2 linked regions of the Macaca fascicularis genome follow. The protein of the gene in region 2 interacts with the protein of the main gene of each other region in a pairwise test. Links are inferred from orthologs where the notes say so. Each region holds a gene or a part of one and is shown on either strand. Other genes may lie near its edges.

The links.
Region 1: the proteins of MS4A12 (region 2) and MALL interact in binary tests that used the Homo sapiens proteins (3 or more experiments, as listed by UniProt). The two-hybrid records come from large-scale screens. The link is inferred for Macaca fascicularis from reciprocal best matches to the Homo sapiens genes MS4A12 and MALL.

What each region holds. Positions count from the first base shown.
Region 1 is NC_088387.1:17,482,083-17,494,608, forward strand, and holds the start of MALL (MAL-like protein), read right to left. Parts: upstream 7,788-12,526; 5' UTR 7,762-7,787; coding exon 7,657-7,761; intron 1-7,656.
Region 2 is NC_088388.1:13,723,765-13,736,356, forward strand, and holds the start of MS4A12 (membrane-spanning 4-domains subfamily A member 12), read right to left. Parts: upstream 8,059-12,592; coding exon 7,780-8,058; intron 4,619-7,779; coding exon 4,484-4,618; intron 3,742-4,483; coding exon 3,685-3,741; intron 2,063-3,684; coding exon 1,958-2,062; intron 1-1,957. UniProt on the Homo sapiens protein: May be involved in signal transduction as a component of a multimeric receptor complex.

The sequences.
Region 1 (12,526 bases), on a different chromosome or scaffold from region 2:
GAGCTGGGTGAGGCCTGTGATTGCCAACTTTCCCCCATTTCCCTGACAATCTGCATGACTCAGCAGAGGCAGCCATAATCTTCCTAGGTGCACAACTCCCGTAACTTGGGAATCTCACCTCCACCCCTCACAGCAGCCACAGCAAAACTCATCCAAGGAGAGTCTGAGCTCAGACATGCCTAGCCCTGTCCCCATCTGATGGTCCTTCCCTATCCACTCTAGTGGAAGACAAAGGGCATATAATCTTGGGAGTTCTAGGGCTCCACCCACCACTGGTCCATCTCCATACTACTACAGCTGTTGCTTTCTGGAAAGTGCCACCTCCTGGCAGGGGGCCAACCAGCACAAAAATAGACCATTAAACCACCAAAGCTAAGGACCCTCACAGAGTCCACTGCACCCTCTGCCACCTCCACCAGAACAGGCACTGGTATCCATGGCTGAGAGACCCACAGACGGTCCACATCACAGGACTCTGTGCAGACAATCCGGAGTACCAGCCCGGAGCCAGGTAAATTCGCTGGGTGGCTGGATCCAGAAGAGAGACAACAATCACTGCAGTTCGGCTTACAGGAAGCCACATCCATAGGAAAGGGGGAAGAGTACTGCATCAAGGGAACACCTTGTAGAACAAAAGAATCTGAACAACAGCCTTTAGCCCTAGACCTTCCCTCTGACAGAGCCTACCCAAACGAGAAGGAACCAGAAAACCAGCCCTGGTAATATGACAAAACAAGGCTCTTCAATACCCCCCATAATCACACTAGTTCACCAATAATGGATCCAAACCAAGAAGAAATCCCTGATTCACCTGAAAAAGAATTCAAGAGATTAGTTATTAAGCTAAACAGGGAGGGACCAGAAAAAGGCGAAGCCCAATGCAAAGGAAGTCCAAAAAATGATACAAGTGGAGGGAGAAATATTCATGGAAATAGATAGCTTAAAGAAAAAACAGTCAAAAATTCAGGAAACTTTGGACACAATTTTAGAAATGTGAAATGCTCTGGGAAGTCTCAGCAATAGAATTTAACAAGTGGAAGAAAGAAATTCAGAGCTCAAAGACAAGGTCTTTGAATTATTAACCCAATCCAATGAAGACAAAGAAAAAAAAAAAGAGAAAATATGAGCAAAGCCTCCAAGAAGTCTGGGATTATGTTAAACAACCAAGCCTAAGAATAATTGGTGTACCTGAGGAAGAAGAGAATTCTAAAAGCCTGGAAAACATATCTGGAGTAATAATCAAGGGAAATTTTCCCAGATTTGTGAGAGACCTAGACAGCCAAATACAAGAAGCACAAAGAACACCTGGGAAATTCATCACAAAAAGATCTTTGCCTAGGCACATTGTCGTCGGGTTATCCAAAGCTAAGACGAAGGAAAGGCTCTTAAGAGTTATGAGACAAAAGCACCAGGTAATCTATAAAGGAAAAGCTATCAGATTAGCAGCAGATTTCTCAGCAGAAACCCTATAACCTAGAAGGGACTGGGGACCTATCTTCAGCTTCCTCAAACAAAACAATTATCAGCCAAGAATTTTATATCCAGTGAAACTAAGTATCGTATATGAAGGAAAGATACAGTCATTTTCAGACAAACAAATGCTGACAGAATTTGCCATTACCAAACGACCACTACAACAACTGCTAAAAGGAGCTCTAACTCTTGAAACAAATCCTGGAAACGCATCAAAATGGAACCTCTTTAAAGCATAAATCACACAGGACCTATAAAACAAAAATACAAGTTAAAAAGCAAAAGCAAAACCAAAGTAGACAGGCAACAAAGAGCATGATGAATGCAATGGTACCTCACATTTCAATACTAACATTGAATGTAAATGGCCTAAATGTTCCACTTTAAAGACACAAAACCACAGAATGGATAAGAACTCGCCAACAAACTATCTGCTGCCTTCAGGAGACTCACCTAACACATAAGGACTCACATAAACTTAAAGTAAAAGGGTGGGAAAAGGCACTTCATGCAAATGGACACCAAAAGTGAGCAGGGGCAGCTCTTCTTATATCAAACAAACTTTAAAGTAACATCAGTTAAAAGAGATAAAGAGAGACAGTATATAATGGTAAAAGGCCTTGTCCAACAGAAAAGTATCACAATCCTAAACATATATGTACCTAACACTGGAGCTCCCAAATTTATAAAATAATTACTAATAGACCTAAGAAATGAGATAGACAGCAACACAATAATAGTGGGGGACTTCAATACTCCACCGACAGCACTAGACAGGCCATTGTAACAGAAAGTCAATGAAGAAACAATGGATTTAAACTATACCTTGGAACAAATGGACTTAACAGAAACAAAACAGGAGATATTACAATTGACGGAACATTTCATCCAACAACCACAGAATACACATTCTATTCAACAGCACACGGAACTTTCTCCAAGATAGACCATATGATAGGTCATAAAATGAGACTTGATAAATTTAAGAAAACTGAAATTATATCAAGCACTCTCTCAGACCACAGTAGAATAAAACTGGAAATCAACTCCAAAAGGAACTTTCAAAACCATTCAAATACATGGAAATTAAATAACCTGCTTCTGAAAGCATTGAGTCAAAAATAAAATCAAGATGGAAATTAAAAAATTCTTCAAACTGAATGACAATAATGACACAACTTATCAAAACCTCTGGTATATAGCAAAGGCAGTGTTAAGAGGAAAGTTCATAGCCCTAAACACCTACATCAAAAAGTCTGAAAGAGCACAGATAGACAATCTAAGGTCATACCTCAAGGAACTAGAGAAACAAGAACAAGCCAAACCCAAACCCAGCAGAAGAAAGGAAATAACCGAGATCAGAGCAGAGCTAAATGAAATTGAAACAAACAAACAAACAAAAAACCCATAAAAGATAAATGAAATAAAAAGCTGGTTATTTGAAAAGATAAATAAAATTAATAGACCATTAGCAAGATTAACCAAAGAAAGAAGAGAGAAAATCCAAATAACCTCACTAAGAAACAAAACAGGAGATATTACAACTGACACCACTGAAATACAAAAGATCATTCAAGGCTATTAGGAATACCTTTATGCACAAAAAACTAGAAAACTTAGACGAGATGGATAAATGCCTAGAAAAATAGAACCCTCCTAGCTTAAATCAGGAAGAAGTAGTACACTAAACAGATCAATAACAAGCTGCAAGATTGAAACAGTAATTTAAAAATCACTGACAAAAAAAAGTCCAAGAACAGATGGATTCACAGCAGAATTCTACCAGACATTCAAGGAAGAATTGATATCAATCCTTTTGACATTATTCCACATGATAGAGAACAAAGGAACCCTCCCTAATTCATTCTATGAAGCCAGCATCACCCTAATATCAAAACCACGAAAGGACATAACCAAAAAAGAAAACTACAGACTGATATCTTTGATGAACATAGATGCTAAAATCCTTAACAAAATACTAGCTAACTGAATCCAACAACATACCAAAAAGATAATCCACCATGATCAAGTGGGTTTCATACCAGAGATGCAAGGATGGTTTAACATACGCAAGTCAATAAATGTGATACACCACATAAACAGAATTTAAAACAAAAATCACATGATCATTTCAATAGATGCAGAAAAAGCATTCGACAAAATCCAGCATCCCTTTATGGTCAAAACTCTCAGCAAAATCGGCATACAAGGGACATACCTTAATGTAATAAAAGCCATCTATGACACACCCACAGCCAACATAATACCGAATGGGGAAAAGTTGAAAGCATTCCCTCTGAGAACTGGAACAAGATAAGGACGCCCACTCTCACCACTCCTCTTCAACATAATACTGGAAGTCCTAGCCAGAGAAATCAGACAAGAGAAAGAAATACAGGGCATGCAAATCAGTAAAGAGGAAGTCAAACTGTCACTGTTTGCTGACGATAAGATCATTTAACTTGAAAACCCTAAAGACTCTTCCAGAAAGCTCCTAGAACTGATAAAGAATTCAGCAAAAGTTTCTGGATACAAGATTAATGTACACAAATCACTAGCTTTTCTATATACCAACAGCAACCAAGCAGAGAATCAAATCAAGAGCTCAACCCCTTTCATGATAGCTGCAAATAAAAATAATAATAATAATAATAATAATAATATACTTAGGAATATAACTAACAAAGGAGTTGAAAGACCTCTACAAGGAAAACTACAAAACACTGCTGAAAGAAATCAGACGACACAAACAAATGGAAACAAATCCCATGCTCATGGATGGGTAGAATCAATATTGTGAAAATAACCATACTGCCAAAAGCAATCTACAAATTAAATGCAATCCCCATCAGAATACCACCATCATTCTTCACAGAATCAGAAAAAACAATTCTAAAATTCATAGAACCAAAAAAGAGCCAGCATAGCCAAAGCAAGACTAAGCAAAAAACAACAACAAAAAAAAATATGGAGGCATGACACTACCTGATTTCAAACTATATTCTAAGGCCATAGTTACCAAAACAGCATGGTACTGGTATAAAAACAGGCACATAGATCAATGGAACAGAATAGAGAACCCAGAAATAAACCCAAATACTTAACAGCCAACTGATCTTGGACAAAGCAAACAAAAACATAATATGGGGAAAGGACATCTTTTTCAACAAATGGTGCTGGGATAATTGGCTACTCACATGTAGGAGATTGAAACTGGATCCTCGTCTCTCACCTTATACAAAAATCAACTCAAGATGGATTAAGGACTTAAACTTAAGACCTGAAACTACAAAAATTCTAGAAGATAACACTGGAAAAACCCTTCTAGATACTGGCTTAGGCAAGGATTTCATGACCAAGAACCCAAGAGCAAATGCAATACAAACAAAGATAGATAGCTGGGACCTAATTAAACTACAGAGCTTCTGCACAGCAAAAGGAACAGACAGCAGAGTAAACAGATAACCCACAGAGTGGGAGAAAATCTTCACAATCTATACATCTGACAAAGGACTAATATTCAGAATCTACAATGAAGTCAAACTAATCAGTAAGAAAAAAACAAAAAATGCCATCAAAAAGTGGGCCAAGGACATGAATAGACAATTCTCAAAAGAAGATACACAAATGGGGAACAGACATGAAAAAATGCTCAACATCACTAATGATCAGGGAAATGCAAATCAAAACCACAATGTGATACCACCTCACTCCTGCAAGAATGGCCATAATCAAAAAAATCAAAAAACAACAGATGTTGGTGTGGATGTGGTGAACAGGGAATACTTCTACCCTTCTGGTGGGAATGTAAACTAGTACATCCACTATGGAAAACAGTGTGGAGTTTCCTTAAAGAACTAAAAGTAGAATACCATTTGATCTAGCAACCCCACTACTGGGTATCTACCCAGAGGAAAAGAAGTCATTATTCAAGAAAGATACTTGCACACACATGTTTATAGCAGCACAATTCACAATTCCAAAATTGTGGAACCAACCCAAATGCCCATCAATCAATGGGTGGATAAAGAAACTGTGAGAGAGAGATATATATATATGGTTACAAATACGGTGCAGTGTACACAAGGATGATGAGTGCACCAAAATCTTACAAATCACCACTAAAGAACTTACTCATGTAACTAAATACCACCTGTACCCCAATAACTTATGGAAAAATAAATTTTTCAAAAGCAAAAAACAACAACAACAACAACAACAACAACTAATCAGTACTCTTCAGAAGTGGCAAGGTAAGGACCCAGGTTGTCCCAGATTAAAGGAGATGAAGGAGATATGACAACTAAGTGCCATGTGGGATCCTGGCCAGGATCCTGGATCAGAAAAAGGACATCAGTGAGGAAATTAGCAAAACTGAAGTAAGGTTTATAGAGTACTTGATAGCACAGTATCACTGTTTCCTGATTTCAAGAGTTGTACCATGGAAGATGCAGGCATTAGGGGCAGCTGAGGGAAGAGTACACAGAACTTTCTGTACTATTATTGCAGCTTTACTGTAAATCTCACATTACTTAACAATACAAGTAAATGAAGACAATTGGGCCAATGTCAATTTTGATTGTCATTGAGCCCCTCACCCCCCACAACACGTAAGGCCTCAGAGCCCAACATGAGCATGCACTTTGCTCTCCCAGGAGTTTCACTGGCAGGAGCAGGGCAGGTGGAGCCACCACGACCTCTCACAGTTCTCACCCTGGGAGCGATCCTGATTCCGGAAACACCGTGCATCTAGCCTGCTTCCAGGACTTCTCCCCTGGCCTCTAGGCCTTTCCCTCTCTTTCCCCCCAGCCTATGAATGCCTGTTCTTTGAGGTCCAACTCTTGGTGGCAGGCCTGGATCCCTCCCTGGCCTGGAGAGTTCAGAAGGTCCCTCCTTGCTGAGGCTACCATCCAACTGTTGGGGGGGAGATGCTCACAGTCTCTCCCCAGCAGACAGGAAATCACCAGGAGGCAGTGCCCTGTCACCAGGGGCTTGCAGGACTGACATAAACCACAGGCTCAATAAAAAGAGGCAGAGTCAACCAGTACCCTGGCCGCCCATGTGGCTGCTCCAAGGTGAGGGGCACACCCAGGGCCTGGCACATAGGACTCATCAGAGCAAGGTTATGTCATCAGTCTGGCAGGATGCCCACGCTGTGCTGGGGATGGTAGCCTTGGCAGAAACCTGCCTCTTAGGTGGAGTTTCAACTGGAGCCACTCAGATGCTAGGCCCACCCTACCTGGTTCTCTTTCTGGTTGCCATCAATGGTCACCCATTAGCCAGTTTGCCTAAAAGTGGCTCGATCAGGCCCAACTTTGCAGGCAGATAACGAGAGTGAGAAGGGCCGGTCACGTCCGATTTAAAAGTAGATCCACTTTCTATCTTTTCCTCCCTGCTCAGAGACAGCACTGCCAAATTCAGGGCAGGTAAGAAAATACCACCCACAAGCTAGATATTTCAGAAGGTGCTGGAAAAACAAAACACACTCTTTTGCCCTGATTGGACCCCAGACTTCAGTGTGCTCCTCCATGAAGAGGATGTGGTACCAGCCAGTTCAGAGGGGACTTGTGCAGTGTGGAACACTGCATATGCACAGCTCTGCAGATGGGAGCAGGCAGGCTTCCCAGGGATCAGGGCCACGACTCAGCCGTAGGGCGCCCCAGAGAGTAATACAGTGACAGGTTCTCATTTGCAACCAGGGTGCCTCACACGACTGTTTTATGGCAGATGCTGTCATAGTTACCTTGTGTGGGGGACCCCACAAAAGTCAAAGTTCAAAGTCAGCAGACATGACAATTAAGAAAACCTGCTCCCAGAGGGAAACACAGTCTCCCCACTTCAAATCAGAAAGGCACAAATAGTTGGACAAAAGAAGCCATGTAATTATAATTCATTTCCAACATTTTCCTGGGAATCCTGAGTATTTTAGCAACGTCCCCCCAGGCCTCCACACCCAAGTGGGTTTTGTTTTGGAGGGCGGAACCCCCCTGGCGGCATCAGACGGGGCGCAGAGTGGGATCTGTGTCTTGAGTACAGCTGCACCCCGCTGTGCGCCCGGTGGGAGACTCGCAGCCACCGCAGCCCCTGCGCTCGGTCCCCCTTGTCTCAGCGCGGTCTGGTCTGGGGCCGAGGCCGGTTTCCCCCTTCCTTTCTCTCTGCAGGTGGCCGGGGGGCCGCACTCACCAGCTCCGGCAGGAAGAAGGCGAAAGGGATGGTGAGGAGCAGCGCGATCCCCGAGGGCACATCGGACGGGGCGTAGCTGGTGACCGGCGGGTCGGGCGAGGCCATGCTGTCAGCCCCTGCTGGGCACTCCCGGCAGCTCGCCCGAGCGCAGCCCGTCAAATATCACCTCCTGCGCGACACACCCATCGGACGTCGTCTGGGAGGGGAAAAAAAAGTTCCAGCCGAGCAGGTCCTTCCACTCGCTGAAGCCAACAGATCCTCAGTGAGCGGGCCAGCGGCATCGAACGGCCCTGCCTGGCCGGCGGGGGACACAGCGCTGGTGCAGGAGGGAGCAGAGCGGGAGTCTCTTTCTAGACCTTTCCAACTAAGGAATCTTTGACTCCTAGGGCCTGTTACTCTAGGGGATGCCAGCGACAGTCACTCCCCTGGGCCCAGAGTGTAGGCTCAGGCTGCTTGGCTATGAGGGCTGTGTACTGAGGACCAGCAATGAGCCATGCTATCTGCAGACAGCCCGGGTGCCCACCACGGCCTGCACGTGGCTGTTTTGCCCTTTTCCAAGTGAGGAGACTGAGAATCAGTGAGGTCAACTCAAGGCCACAGAGCTGGTTACTAACAATGCTGGATCTTGCCCAGCTCCCTCCCTTTCCACTCTTGGTGGCAGCTCTCGGTCGCCAGCCTCCCCTGGGAGGAGCAGCCCTCCCTTCCAGCTCATGCCCCTGGGACTTGGTGTTTCCTTCTTTCTCTGGATCCCTTTCCATGGTCCTCCACTGCTCTTTTCCTCATGGCGCAGATGGAGGAAGGCCCCCACTCTCTGGGAGAGGACCACAGCAGCAGGCACCAGAGAAGGGCTGGGCTGGCTGGCTGCTGCCTCTGGCGGACAACCTCCTTCCTTCCCTGACCTTCCTTCCAGCCAGTGCCTTGCCCCTAAATGGGCTTGGGGCCAAGAAGTTTCTTCCTGACTCCCAGGCAAGTAGGGGAGCTGACTGCAGGGCTGTGACCCAGAAGCAAGCAACTCCTTTCACACCAAATACAAGTCCCAAAGGCTGAACCATTTCCCCTCCGCCTTTGAATTGGCGAACCTTCATTTTCCCAACCTGCCCTGAAAGAGTGTACTCAGGATGCTGGGGATTGGGGTCCCTTCTTCCTGCCCCCAGCTGCTCCCTGGTATGGAGAGCATGTGGGGAAGATTGTGTGAGGGCTGGATTAATTAGAAGAGCCCGTGTCCTGATCTCATTAGCAGAAATGGGGAATTCCAGGTCCTGTCCTCAGGGCCACAGGTGGGGAGATCAGCCAGCTCAGCCTTTGCCTCGTCTGGGGAGAGCCCAGGGAGAGAGGAGTTTGGACAAATGAAGCTAAGAGCAAAGGCATTGCAAAGAAAGGCAATGAACCCCCCAGTGGATCTCAAACCAGACTGAGCATCCCTTTTCTCCAGGCTATGGAAACTAGGAAGTAAGGGAGACGCTAATCCCACCTGCCAACCGCAGTCTCACCTACGCCACCTTGTTTACAGGACTAATCCAAGCAAAGCAGGGATTTCTCCATGAATCCCACATCTTGCCACCTCTCTTAAAGGTTGCAAATAAGCACTGTGCCATTCTTACGGGCTGTAGGATACCTTTGACTTGCCCATGGACAACATGGCATAGTAGGAAAAGCTTAAGAAGGAAAACAACCTTCTTAGGCTCATATCTATGAAATGGAGATAATAATACAACCCATAACCCCTTAGTCTCAAGTTGAGAGGCCTTGAGCCACCTCCACCTTCTGAAGCAATTAGCATATTAAGAAATGAAGATATGCCTTGGTCCTCCGGCTAAAGACCAGGGTTTTCATTTTCCTCCTCTGCTGTGCACTTCTTGTGACTGTGTCTATCTTCGGGACCAAGGCAATGTGGGTGTCGGGGTTTGGGGCGGGGGGGCGGGGGGAGGGGGGGGGAGAGAGAGAGAGAGAGAGAGAGAGAGAGAGAGAGAGAGACAAAGGTAACAATTATTCCCCCCATGCTTTTAGGATCATGGTTCCTCTGGTCAGAGACAAAGGTTCCCCTTTCTCAGAGTTCCAGGTACCTGCCTGGCTGCTACTTCCATTGCCACCATCACTGTCACTTGATTGCCCAGGGGCTGAGGAAGGAAAGAATAAACAAACAAACAAAACACAGAGATTTTCTACACTCCCTCTGACTCTTTGGGGCCCCCTTTCCCATTCCTCAGACCAGAAACAGGGCTTCTTTTGGAGACGTCTTTGTCCGCATCCTGCGTACAGTTCTGGGTTTCAGGTGGTCTCTGACCCCGGCTGAGAGGTACCAGAGGAAAGAAAATGGGAAACTCACCAACAGCTTAGTAGTGTTTTGAATTCTGGTTTCCTTCCAAAATATTCCTGCTTTTTTTTTCTAGAATCCTCAGTTAGCTTCTCCATGCATTCTGTCCAGGGCTGTTAATTGCATTTAGTGAAAGGAAGAGAAGGAGTATCCTTCTCTACTTGACCAGAGCCCAACTTGCAACATCCTGCTTAACTCTTCAAGCACTTTTCACTACCCAAGATTTCCCTGATTTACTAATTTGCCTATTGTTTGTCTCCCTGCCCTGCCCCTCTCCAGGATGTGGGCTTAAGGAGAGCCAAAACTTTGCTCATGTGGTGAACCACAACCATATCCACCATCTTGAATACCGTCTGGTACACAAAAGGTACTCAATAAATGGTTTTGAATAAATGTTTTTGAATGATTGAAACAGTCATGAAAACAGTCATAAAGACTTTGAAGACAACTGCTTATCTCTTTTTTTGACTCCTCTTTATTAAACTCTTTTCCCACTAAGAAATTGCTTTATCATTTTTCAGAAACAATTTACTAGTTCCATGAAAAGGAAGAGACAGGCCAGAAGAAATTCAGAGATACTTGGGGGAAAGAATAGACAGTTGTATCCATTGGGATTCTTTCAATAACAAATGTTAAAAAAAACCCATTCCAACTGGCTTTAGTGATGAAAGGAACTTATTACCTTAGGAAATGAGAGGTTGAGAGGTAATAATGGTTTCCGGTGAGACTTCATCCAGTGACTTGAACAATGACACTCAAGGTGGAGGTGATGTTACCAAGAGACAAGTATATGGAGGCTGGGTAGCAGAAACACCAGATGTCCACTACAGTAGCCTCCCCCTGTAGGAGCAGAGCTCTCCCCTTTTCTGCTGCAAGAACACACATGTCCACTGGTTCTGGCCTGCTAGACACAACTAGATTGCAACTATTATTTCTACAGATCAAGGTCTCTTTAACTCTCAGATGGGGTAGACTCAGGAAGACCCTGTGATTAATGTTCATAGCCATGAGGCAGAACTGAGTCTGGTTTCTTGTGTCCCTGGAGTTGGGCAAGTACCGAACAGCTGCCAGGAAAAAGGAAGGACTCAATGGGATAATGTCTGGGTCATCCAGAGATTCCTACCTGGAGAAGAGCTCAGAAAGCATGGAGACCTTTTTATTCCCCAAAATGGTCTCTTCGAAAGGACAAAGTTCTGCAAAGTTAATCTTTTCTGGCAAAGTCAGATGCAAATGAGCAGGTTAAGGTCCAGTCTGTCTTACAGAGTATCAGAAAAGGGCTAAATGACAGACACACTATCAAAGTCCCAAGTGTGAGCCGTACTCCATGAATGATTTTTTATATTGCTGCACACAGACCTGCACGCCTCATTCAGTATCAGCCATCACTGAGCAGAACATCCTCAACCTCCATTTTCCTGCCTATGAGACAATATAGCCCATAGCCGTTCACTTGCCATTCACTTACTATTTTTTTGAGACAGGGTTTCCCTGTCGCCCAGGCTGGAGTGCAGTGGGATGATCACAGCTCACTGCAGGCTCAACCTCCTCAGCTCAAGTAATCCTCCAACTCTGTCTCCCGAGTAGCTGGAACTACAGACCTGCGCCACCATATCCGGCTAATTTTTGGATTTTTGTAGAGATGGGGTCTCATCATGTTGCCTAGGCTAGTCTTGCATGCCAGGGCTCAAGCACCCTGACTGCCTTGGCCTCCCAAAGGTGTGAGCAACTGTGCCTGGCCCATTCACTTATCTTTATACCCATCCCTCTTTATCCAAATTGACTTGGTTACTGCATTCAAATATCAGAATTCAGAGAGCAAGTTTGAGTGTTGAGGGATACAGTGTTATGAAATCCATGTGTCCTTGAGTTTCAGGTAGTAAATGTGGCAGTTCAAATAGTGAGGGATTCATCTGAAAATGTATTTAAATCTAACTGGTCCCCAACAACAGAAAGTGGCGTTGGGAGAGGGAGAGTGAGGATAGGAAGGAACACCCGTACACTTACCATTGACTTCGTGCCTGCCACAGGGCCACTAACAGCCCTGGCCATAGTACTGTTGGAATTATTTTTTGTGTTTGGGTGATTACTGTCCACCTCATGTATTGTAAGGACAGAGATCTTGCCAGGATTGTTGTCACTCTATCTTCAAAGCCCAATGCTGTGCCTGGAGCATGGCAGGTGCTCAACACTTATTAAGTAAATGAGGAATGGACAATCGTAACACTTAGATGCAAAGTGCCCTAAGTAAGGTTCTTTCTCTGCCTCTTTGTTTTGAGGAAACAGATCACAGCAGCTAGGTGACAGCTGTCTTTGATCACCTCCACACCCCAAGAAAGCCTTCCAATTTAGAATGCTTCACACAAGAGGAAGCTGAGGCAGTTCACAGCAAAGGATATCCTATAATGCTGCAAATTGAAAAAGCCCTCAACTGGCAGAGGACACTGCTGGCTTCCTCTGTTAAACTGATAGTTTCCCAACTGCTACTGGGTTGGCAAGTCAAACTTGCTCCATTTGTACACAGGGTTATGTATTTCAACTGGTTTTATGTGAGTTGCT
Region 2 (12,592 bases):
TCTCCTGAGGTCCTGGGTACTACCCATGGTCTTGTACCATACAGGATTTGCTTTATCCTTTCGCAGAATTGACTACTCTCCACCCCAGCCTTCTCAGTTACAGACTCAAGAGTGTTAGTGAGACTTCTCAGTAATTTTTTTGGCTTCCCTTTTTTCCTTAGTTTTGTTTCTAGGGAAACAAGAGTGAGGTCTAAAAGCTGTGCTTTTTTTCAGCTACTTTGAGTAGCATCAGAATGATTCTTTTCTCTACTTGGATGCCAGTTTGAAAGCTGTTTTTTTGAATACTTTTTGTTCTTTTGTTTGGTATTTTGGAAGATGAATTTTGTTCCTGCTTCACTCTGCCTTATTTACCAAGAAGCTTTCTCATCTTTTTTTGCCTCCTGATATGGTTTGGCTCTGTGTCCCCACCCAAATCTCATCTTGTAGCTCCCATAATTCCCACTTGTTGTGGGAGGAACCTGGTGGGAGATGATTGAATTATGAGGGCGAGTCTTTCCCATGCTATTCTTGTGATAGTGAATGGGTGTCATGAGATCCGATGGTTTTGTGATCCCTGCACAAGCTCTATTTTTTTTGCCTGCCCCCATCCATATAAGACATGATTTGCTCCTCCTTGCCTTCTGCCATGATTGTGAGGCCTCCCCAGCCGTATGGAACTCTAAGCTCATTAAACCCCTTTTTCTTCCCAGTCTTTGGTGTTTCTTTATCAGCAGTGTGAAAACAACCGAATACACCTTCTTATATAAGCTTTTCCTTACGCTGCAAACAGTGTTGTCCTTTGCAAGCACAAAAGTGATCATTCAAATTCCCGGCCTAAAACTCTTCTACGTTTTTAACAAAGAAGGATTGTCTCAGAACTTGGTGGAAAAGGAGTGTGCCAGCAATTCCAACTATTGACACTTCAAAGAACATACTCTAGGGGACAGGCATCTGATGGGAGTGCTTAGACAACTTTCAGATTATACCAATGGTTGGAGTCAGGATTTCAGAACCCTTTAGTTGAGAAGCAGATGGCTTCATAAGCCTGCCACTCTGAGATCGAGTGGAACAGAATTACTTACACAGTACTGAGTGAACTGATAAGAGAAATGTTATTATGTTTATTTGTTCAAAATATTGTGATATTGTCTTAATGTTAATATGTTCTAGATATATAAGGAAGTCATTCTGTGTCTTTCTTAAGATATATATATCCCACAGTAATTTAATAAACTCTGCTCTTTGTAAACTGAAAAGCAAAAGCAAAACCAACCCCAACGTAAAATAAAACAAAACATATAAAACTACTCTTCTGTGGTTTTCCATTGCTCACAGAATGAAAACCAAACTTCTTAACGTGGCCATTGAGATAGAATGAAAGCTTCCAGTCCAACCTCATTTTATACCATGTTCCTCCATTCCTTATAGATGGTAAGCATTCCTGCCCTTGGGCCACCCATTTCCTCCTAAGGTCGGAGTCCATGCTTGGCTGTATAAGGCTAATGAATGTGTGATTCTGTTTTGAGCACATTCAGAGGCATGTGCTTCATTTTGCAATTGCTTCATTCCTTGGGTTTCTCTGTAAAAATCGGATGTCTTATCCCTGTCTTTTACCTCTCACTTCATACTTTACTCTGAAGTTTAACAAAAAACACTCAATAGCTTGACTACCTTATTTATATAGAATTTCAAATGTTGGGAAAATAATTTTTGGACAATTTTAGAAACCCTTCCCCATTGTTCATTTGATTGACAGTGAGATGGGCCAATAAAGGATGTCCTTTAAGCCTCCGTCTATCTGTAGAGGTAACCCTCTCACTTTATTCTATAGTCCTAGAGATCATATGACTAGGGGTGGGGCTAGAATAGAAAAAAAAATTTCCATTAGAGCTGGTGTACGGTATTAAGAGATAAAACATAGACCCACTTTACAGGACTGAAAAGAGAGCAAGCACATGGTGGATTATGGGATACTTACGACCCGTTGGTAAGGCCCATGGATGCACATATCCACCACCAGCAGAATCACTCCAATGAAGGCAAAGATAGAACTAACAATGTTCATTCCCAGGCTGCCTTTCACCTAGTGGAGATGGCAGGCAAAAATCAATTATATACAGGATCACTGAAGTTAAATGAAATAAGAATCAATCAAATTTCATGGTTCTTAATTTTTGAACTTTCAAAACAAATTTTCAAGTTGAAATTATTCTATTTTCTGCCCTTCTGGGTAATTACCATAAACATTATTCTATATGCAGCCTAGAGGTAGGGTACTTCTAAAAAGCTGTAGAAAAATGTAAATCATATAAAGCAGGCACTCATCTATTGTTTTTACTAAAAGCCTCATGCACAATAACAACTATATTTTCTTTATAAAAAATGAAAAAACTTCTAATGAGCATTTTTCTGTGGCAGACACTGTGTTAAATTATTTAAATTATCTCACTTAACTCTTACAGCTTTTGTATGAGGTGGTATGATAGCATCTGATTTTTATAGATGGCAAAGTATTTAGACACAACATGTTTGCTGAAAAATTTAGGAATTAATGAAAACCCTAAGTCTCTCTAGGGACTAAATATGCACCCCCAAATTTAGAAGGAGAAACTCTTCAAGCTTTTGTGGGCAGAGGTGTATGGGTGACTACAAATCTTTCCCCAGTTTCTACAATAGGATTTTAACATGCAGAAGAATAATTGTGAAAGCAGATCTGCTGCTGACTTGCTAGGGGTGGCGTAGTTGAGTTCTTTAGAATGTGCTTGTACTGCAGCATGCCTTAGAGCCTCCTGATGGTCTCTGAAAGCTCTTGGAAAAATTGTCTTAGGTAAGTGTCAGTGGCTGTCTCCTCTAAGAGGATGGAATCTATGCTTGGACAATCTCAATTAGAGGGAAGGATCCTTAAAGGATGCAGAGAAAGGGTGCTTTATTTTGTTTTTGGACTACGAAATTATTTTATTCTTGTTTTGTCTGGAAGAGCATGAACTACACAATCCTGTGTTCCTCTTTCCCTATTCTTCCCTCTTGTGCTGGATTACATATAATTTTGACACCACCTCTGCTCTAGTTGACTCTAATTCTTGGTAAATCACTTTCTTTTTCCTAGTTCAATAGTAGACCGGGAAATTGCAATAGGTGGGGCTCTGTGACCAACAGAACTCAAGGTCCCATCTTACTGATCATTTTTATAAACTCTTCTTACGGAACAGGCTAGATTCATTTAATGGCAATTTAAAGAATTGTAAAACACACACCCAATCTTGAGTAAGAGTAGGAAAGACGCAAAAATATGAAAATAAAAATACAAGACAGAGCTGAGAAGTGGCAAATTAACAGTAGAGACTTGGTAACTGATGTGGCTAGTAGGTATTTCCTGGCTCCTGGATTCTCCTTTGGACTTCCCATAATCGAGTGTGACCTGACTAAACCAGGGAGCTTTCAGGTTAAAGCTTAAACCACCCTGATCTTTACTACTTCTCACCCTTGTCAGTTCAAGAGTCAGGATGTGGAACTCTGCCATTTCTTAGTGGCAGACTGTGTGGACCACTCTCCTACCCCAGCGCTCAGACCATGAGGCAACCAATAGATTTTTTTTGGGAAAGGTGCTCTCTTTTGCATTTCCCAAATCCAGCTTTTCAATTTTCCTCCCCAATATGTTAAGCTAATCTTTAAAGGGGTTCAAAAAGCAGAAACAGTCTAACTTACCAGACAAGAGGAAAGCTCCTTGGATGCTGACACAGAGAGAGAGCCTGAGATAATGAACTGTGGAAATGGACAAATTTAGTTGAGAAATGGGTTAACTGGTTGTGCTTGGGAGTTTCTCTTTATACAAAAGGTTGGTCTATTTACGTTCATCTAGCTTCCTTCTCAAAATTTTCTCTTGCACTTCTAAATTTTCTGGGTAACTCTCAGGCATGTATGTCCTTGACTTCTTTTTTATTTTCTCCTTAATTTCTGGCCCATGAGGAACTCATAATGTCTAAGCTTTCCTTGTTCTGAGGCTTACGCTCCATCCCTTCTCATAATCAATTGCATTTTTTTAATTAAAAAAATTTTTTTGGAGATTGGGTCTCACTATATTGCTCAGGCTGGCCTCAATCTCTTGAACTCAAGCAATTCCCCGGCCTCAGCCTCCCAAGTAGCTGGGACTACAATCACATACCACTATGCCTGACTTACTTGCATATTTTTAATCATGTTTTCAATCACCTTTTTTTTTTTCTCTCTCTCTCTCCACCCAATACATACATTTCCATCTCAAATGTAGTAGGAAACCAAAACTTTGGCTTGCTGGTTACATGATTACATTTTAAAGAATGGAATAAGCTCCTATTTAAAATGGTAAACAAGTTCCTGATTTTTTTATGCTCATTCAGAGCTGTTAATTTTTCTAAATTCTCCAGCCCTCAGATGTAGGGCTTTATCAAGAAATGAGTTGTGAATTGGCTGGAGATATCAATACTTTATAAACCAAGAAGGAGTGGTGTTCTAGCAATCTACTCACAGAAAGGCCACCCCAGAATGGGTATCCACTAATAACAGCAGAGGCAAAACCGAGTACTCTTCCATAAGGGATTACTATTAGACACAAAATAATTCCAAAACCAAGGTGCATCAATCCAACCATGATCTGGATTACCTGAAAAAAGAAAACAACCATTTTAAAATTACTTCTTCACTTTCAGACGTGTGAAACATTACTGTCATTGCTGCCCCTGCTTATTGATTGTCAATTTTGCTGAGATCCATGGTTGTCATTCAGGCACGCATCTGAAGCAGGAGGTGGGCCATGAAGATTCTGACATACACTAGAATAACTGGAGTGTAGGTAGCCCTTAGTGAAGCGCCTTGTTTTGAGGTATTTGGGGAGACTTATTGGGGTGGCCCAGGAAGAATTCTTCAGAAAGTACAGCTGCTTAATCATGTGTTAGTATCTCTGAAGGCCTCTAAAAGACTATTAGAAAAAAAATACTTTAACTGTGATGTCAGTAGTTGCTTTTTCAGATGGATCAGTTCTCTGCTTGGGTCATCCCAGTTACGGGTAAAGGGACTGGTGAAGATAAAACCATTTATAAGGCATGAATTATGTGCTTAGTCATGTTCTGAACACTTTACATTTATTGTTTCATGTAGTCCTCCCACAATTGGATTGAGTCCCAGAGACATAAAGACATGTGAGACCTTGTATCCAAGGTCATGCAGTTCCTGAGGGGCAGATCTGGGAATTTACCGCAGCACATTGACTGCTGAGCCTGTCTGAACTATTCAGTACTGTCTTCCCCCATGCTCAGCTCTGCTCTACCTCTTCCATGAAGCCCTCTTGATTACACCAAATTAATCTTTTTTCTTTTTTTCTAAATTTCTGTTGCATCTCATGACATAAAACACACCTTGTTACTTGATTTTGTATTCATTGATATTGTTCTCTTTTAAAAAGTTGCAGGTGTGCAATCATTTTCTTACCATTCTTCTTACCAATCATATATTACTAAAAGTAAGGTATGCATCTTTTAGCTCCTTGTACCTCTTATTGAACCTTCCTTCACTGTAAATAAAGATAGATTTCTGAGGAATAACCATTTCTAGATTGGTCCAAAAGTTGACTGTAGATTTGTCATTTATTTTTCCCCATGTTTACACCTTATCTATCCAGGAAGACTGCAAATACAAAGACTGCTGTATTTATTCAATAAAAAGCTACTGAACACAAGTAAATTGAATTAAAATAAAAAAACCCAGTTTTATAAACAATGCTAACAGTTTCTTGAGACTTTGATAAAAACCGTGAACCTTTCTCCCTAAAAAATTATTCTTGCACCTCCATACACACACATACCATACTTTTGCATATAGTTTCAGAGGCATGATGGGCCTCCTTTAGCCTATCTCACTTAAAGAACTCCTGTATTAGACTTTATATTTGGTTTTTACAACTCTTCTTTAGAGCAGCAATTTAGCCATCTGGCCACAAACTTCCCATCCTCATCCTTGCTGTCACCTTGATGAGGGACAGTTAGATCTGGATTTGTACTGGCCCTCATTTCTCCTCCTACAGCCCTGGCTGTACCATTTACTGATGAAAATTGCCTATAGGACACACTTAAAAATTTGGACATACAATTTGTCTGCATTTGTGGACACAGAAGCACTTTAAGGTCTGAGTTGACTGGTACAGGTGTGCCACGTCCTGCCACCTGTGGCCCCTGCACTGTCGTGATGCCTGGGGCCTGCTGATGGTATAGAAATAACAATCTTCAGAGAGAGGAAGTAGCTTCTGCCAACTGGAGCTTTAAACAAAACTTCATAGTCTTTTAAAGTATTTTTATCACACGCCTTTTTGGTGCCAGGCAGCGTGATTCAGTGGTTCGTCATCCACTTAGTCAAAGCCAAAGCCTTCTGCTCTGCAGGCCTCACCAGCTGTGGCCTCTGCCACTCCTCTGCCCTCCTGACAACTGCTCCCTCCCTCCCTCATTCTGTTCTATTTTATTGGCCTTCTCCCTGTTTTTCAAATACATCACAGATATTTTCATCTAAAGACTTTTACACTGGTTGTTTTCACTTTCCCTGATATCTGCAGGGCTCACTCCTAACTTCAGGTTTTTGCTCAAATGTCATGTTCTAAGGAAAGCCCATTCTGACTGCCTTGAAATTGCTGCCTCCTCACTGTCTGGTACTTTTTAGCCCTTTTACACTTCTTTGTTTTGTCCATATCATTCGACACCTTCTAATACACTAAGTACTTTACTTCCTTCTTATGTTTACAGTCTGATTTCCCCCACTAGGGCAAAAGTTCTGTAAAGGCAGAGATTGCACCTGCTTTGTACTCGGTGATATTTTCCAAGCACCTATGTGGGGTTGGCTGTATGGGGGGTTTGTCCCATTGGCTTATTAGAAGTGGGGAATTTCCTCTATCTGGGAGGAAGAGGATCAGAAGGGCCACCTCCACAGCTTAGTAAATAGGCTGCTGCAAGAGAACTTAGGCTCATTTTTACTTCCCTAAAACATCACAACTTGAAATAGGTAGTAAGATGACTAGAAGATTTTCTGGCACATAATGAGCATTCATTTACGGAATGCTCCAGCAGAGAATTTCAAGCTATTCACAGGGAGAGACTTAATATAGTTTGGTGGAATTGTACTAGCGGGATGAATGAGGTATTTGGAAAGCACAGCGAAGGGAGTAACAATTCTACCTAGGCAGGTGGAATTTTCTTACAAATAGGGCATTTTTGTTTTTACAATGCCTACAGAAACAAGGTGGTCAGTTCAGAGTCTCCTTTGTAGGAATAAGGTGACAGTTACGCTGTAGCATCTCTAAGGATATTGGCGAGAGAGGCACAACAGATGGAACGTCCCCCAATTCTTTCACACTCAGCCTTTCCCAGACTGCCCATTTGTAGTTTCCTTTTCTGGAGGCAGCCATCAATGTTCATTTTTATGTAAATTCACCTTTATGCAAATACCTGACTTGTAACCAATCTGGAGACGAGATTGAGATTGTCCAAAAAGTCCTTTGAAGAAATGAGATCAAGCTAGATGTAGTAGAGTTTCCGTCATGTCAATATTACCAAATCCTCCAGCTAGGGAGGCTCCTCTGTCTCCTGTTATATTTTTGCTTGATCTAAAATGAAATGAACTCAAGGGAAAGTCTATAGGCAGACTAAATATTTCTGTCTAAAAGGGATAGTTTCAGAATAACATTCAAAACTTTTTAGCAATTGGATGATATTCTCTTCTCCTATAACTTATAAGAAGACCTTGCAAATGTGAGTTTAAAATTCTAGTAGTAAGTAGACTTACCCCTAGTACCTTTGCTTCTTCTTTAAAGTTTATTACTGCTCTTCCCACGCTTGGATTTATCATTTGTGTATTTCCTTGACCTGGTTGACTGACAGCAGAGGTTCCTGGAGATGTGATGAAGTAGGGCTGAGCACTCTGAGCACCCTGAGCTTGGTTTTCTAAGTTGATTGAACCCGGAGGCTGTTGAGATCCAGGAGCCGTAAAGCTGCTTGGTGGGTAGTAAGGGTTGGGTGTGGTTTCATATACTCCAGCATGGCTTGTTGGCTTGGATGACACCATGATGTCCTAAGTATCACAAAACATACCAAAGTGATACGTTTATCCAGAAAAGAAACTAAAGAAAATCTTACCAAATATCAAATGTCAATTATCTATGATAATGGAGAGAGCAAGTGACAGATAATGGTCCATAACATCTGATAGAAACATGATTCTCATAAATCCCCAACCCCCAGGCCAAGGACTGTTACCCGTCCGTGGTCTGTTGGAAATCTGGCCACACTACATGAGGTAAGCAGCGGGCAAGCATTACTGCCTGTGCTCTGCCTCCTATCAGATCAACACGGCATTGGATTCTCATAGCAGCGTGAACCCTGCTGTGAACTGCACATGCTGGGGATCTAGGTTGCATGCTCCTTATGAGACTCTAATGCCTGATGATCTGAGGTGGAACAGTTTCATCCCGGACCCATCTCTCATTAGAGAGATGCTATGCTGCTGATTGTGAAGATGGAGGAAGGCGTCCATGAATCAAGGAATGTGGGTCACCTCTAGAAGCTGGATGAAACAAGGAAACAGATTCTTCCTAGAGTCTCCAGGAAGGAACCTGACTCTACTGACACCTTGACCTTAGTCTAGTGAGCTGGTATGGCACTTCTGACCTACACAACTGTCAGATAAAATAATATATTGTTTTAGGCCACTGTGTTTGTGGTAGTTTGTTATATCAAGAAATAGAAAACTAATACAGGGGCCAAGTAATACAATACTTGTATGGCAAAGAGGGCAGTCCAAGATTGAAATTATTTGCCAGTAATTGGGAAACTAGATGGTTCACATATGCCCATTTAAGATGATTCTCCTGTTCTTTAGGAAAAATGCTCTTACTCATTTCTGTCCTTCTGAAAGCTTAGAGCATCTCAGGCCCCATGTAGCCAAGGGAAATTTTGTTGGAAATAAGCCAATACAACTGGATATGGACAACAATGACTATTAATTCTTGAAAAAAAATTATGACACTTAAAAAATTTGTCATTAGCCTTAGATTCCTTTTTTTGAGGTCTTCTCAAATAATTTTTCATGTACTTATGAGTATCAAGAAAGTTACAGTGATGAATGTCTCATTCTTGGTATGAAGTATGAATACTATGAATAACCTATTGGTACAGTGTTTCACTGGTATCTAACAGGGACACATATTCAGACCCTGTGCTCATGGAATCCAGAAATTTTAGGGTAGGAAAGACCCTTTCCATTTATCCTGTCTCATTCCCCTTCATTTACAGATGAGAAATTGAAGCTGAGTCAAGTTAAGTGACATGCTCAAGGTTACATAGAAAACGTGTGGCAGAGTTAGGACTTGAAAATGGGATTCTTGGCTGTTGGTTCAGAATCCCCCTCCACCCCCAGTCATCCATACAGCATCACTGTAGCTTGTTTTCCAGGCCAGCCTTGGTGACAGGGTATTGACTCTGCTCCTGCAACTGCCCAACAACAAAACTTCTGTCTTTGATGCCATAGAGAGGAGTTTATAAACCAGATTAACTTCTTAGTGACTAAGTAATTAAGTTAGTAAGGATTCTCTTTAGCAAGCTTTAGTCGAGGTGTGTAGAGAGCTAACCTTTATTAAAGACTTATTGTAGGCACAGTAGGGTCTGTATAGTGTCATGTTTAGGAAGATGAACTTGGGATCTAACCCCAACTTTGTGTCTTTGGCAAGTTCGTTAACCTCTCTTTGCCTTTGTTTTCTGTCTGTAAAATAGAGCTAAAAAGACTACCTTCCTTAGAGAGTCAGTTTGAGTATTAAGGAGTTATTCTGGGCAAAGTATGTAGGACTGTGCCTATTCCAACCACAGGGGTTGGCTCTGTTATCGCTATGTTAAGTGCATGAGATACATTATCTCTGTACCCTTTACAGAACCCCATGAGGTAGGTACTCTACTAATATCCCCATTTCACAATGAGAGGATTTAATCCAGAACCTGCACTTATAACCCTTACTCTCCGATGCTAGATGCAACTGAAAATGGTTGAAAACTCAATGAAAAGGGAGAAAACACCTTTCTGAAATATCTGATGACAAAGGGATTTTATTTTTTTTCCAAAATGGAAACACGTCCGGCACTTTAGGAGGCCGAGGCGGGTTGATCACGAGGTCAGGAGATCGAGACCATCCTGGCTAACTGTGAAACTCCATCTCTACTAAAAATCCAAAAATAAATAAATAAATAAATAAAATTAGCCAGGCCTGGTGGTGGTCGCCTGTAGTTCAAGCTACTTGGGAGGCTGAGGCAAGAGAATGGCATGAACCCGGGAGATGGAGCTTACAGTGAGCCGAGATAGTGCCACTGCACTCCACCCTGGGCGACAGAGAGAGACTCCGTCTAAAAAAAAAAAAAAAAAGAAGGAAACACATTTTAGCCCACAAAGTTTATTTTAAACAAGGAAAAAGAAACAAGTCCATAGCTGTGACTCTTAGAGTAACACCACGTAACTCCCAATAGCATTTGAGAATGTGAGGTTATACATACTATGGATCTGGTTTCTATGGCCAAATATTACTCAAGCCCTCTTTTCCAATCTTCAGTTTGCTACTTCACTAAGTCTGGGGCTTTAAACAAGTTTCTTAATGAAATCCCTGTTAGTTCCTATGTCTCAACTGTAAAATGACAGAAGGTACCTAAAGAGGCTAGTCTAAAGATCAAGTTATCCTAATTTATGCAAAACTGTTGGAATAGTGCCTGGCACATGGCAAGAGCTCAAAAAGGAAACTATTGTTTTATTACTAGGTCCCAAGGTATTCTATCTTGTTTAAGGCAGTGGATGTGGCCATAAGGAAATTTTATACAAGGAATTGAACAGGGTCAATGTCAAGAGCAAGGATATAGGAGATGGGTACTCAGAGTACAGTAATTAGCCAGAACAAGAATTTTTTTGAGGTTTTAAAAAGCATACAGTTAAAGAATTGTCCACGTTTCTGCATGTATATGATTTCATTACATTATCCTTTGCTGTTGATCATTGCTTTTTTTTGTCTCGAGAAATTTTATGAGGAAAACTCAATACTTTTCATTTATTTATCCACAGTTTCTCCTTTCATATCTGCTATTTGGTTTCTGGACTAAGATCTATAAGTTTCATATAGAACCCAGATTATCATGGCTAGGCCTATACTTATTAGGACTAGTCTCAGAATACATTTTTACTGGGTCAAGTTCTGGTTTTATGAAAAGAATTAAAGACAGAGCCAGCCAATTCTGATTCTTTAATTATTCAATTGAAATGAAGACAATTCTGTAAATGATACATGAGAAGGGAAACTAATAAATAGACTCCTTTTATAGATTCCACCTATTGTCTTAGTGGGATTGTTCTCTTGACAATTAATAAAATATTTACCACCATTTGTCCTTCTTTTAAAATGAAAATTAGAACAACTGCAATTTTTAAGAACAAGGAACACATAAAATTATTGGAACTCTGATGAGATCAAAAGTACAAGACTAAAGCAATTAGAGAAAACCTCACCAATTTGCTCTGTGATTATATTATTTCAAATAAAATGGGAAAAATTTTACTTTTTTATAGTTTCTTTCTACCTCATTTTCATGCTAACTTCACTTTTGACAGAGTGAAGATGATTATTATTTTCAAGAGTACTTTATAGCATAAAGCAAAACATGAAACTGAATCATTTCCGCAAAATCACCCAGTACATCCACAGATATACACTTTTATCACCTTTCCCAAAATGCTAACCTGGTGAAAATGAATGTTTTTTCCCCACCTATTTTAATTGTTTTCTTGTCAGAAAGAAGCACCTTAATTAAAATGTGTTATAAAACCAAGGGCTCCAGTATTTCTTCTGTGTTCTGTGTTGTCCTGTGGTAGCCACATAATCATGAAGCACCCAGTGGGGCATGGCCTCGTCCTTTTTGGTCTATGTTCATGGAATGGCATACAGTTAAACCTACTATTCACTATTCACCTTTCTTGGCATTAGTTTTTTATTTATTTGTTTGTTTGTTTGTTTGTTTGTTTGGACAGGGTTTCACTCTTGTCACCCAGGCTGGAGTGTAATGGAGCGATCTCAGCTCACTGCAACCTCCACCTCCCAGGTTCATGTGATTCTGTCTCAGCCTCCTGAGTAGCTGGGATTACAGGCACCTGCCACTACGCCCAGCTAATTTTTGTATTTTTAGTGGAGATGGGGTTTCACCATGTTGGCCAGGCTGGTCTCGAACTCCTGACCTCAGGTGATCCTCCTGCCTCGGCCTCCCAAAGTGTTGGGATTACAGGTGTGAGCCACCATGCCCGGCCAGCATTAGCCTTTTTTTTTCTTTTTGGAGTCTGTTTTATCTCTTGTATAGCAATCAACTTACTTTTTCATTCTTCTTCTGTTTCGTTTCTTTCTTGTTTCATTCATGGTTTTATTTTTCCTCATTTTTCAACTGGCCTCAACATAGAGTCAAGAACTTGTCTTCATCCCTCCAATCTAGAGAATAGAACCCACACAGGTAGACCAGCCCCACTTTGTGCCCATTGATTTGGAGGAGAGATAAGCAAGGACGTTTCAATGGACTTACTTGTTCCT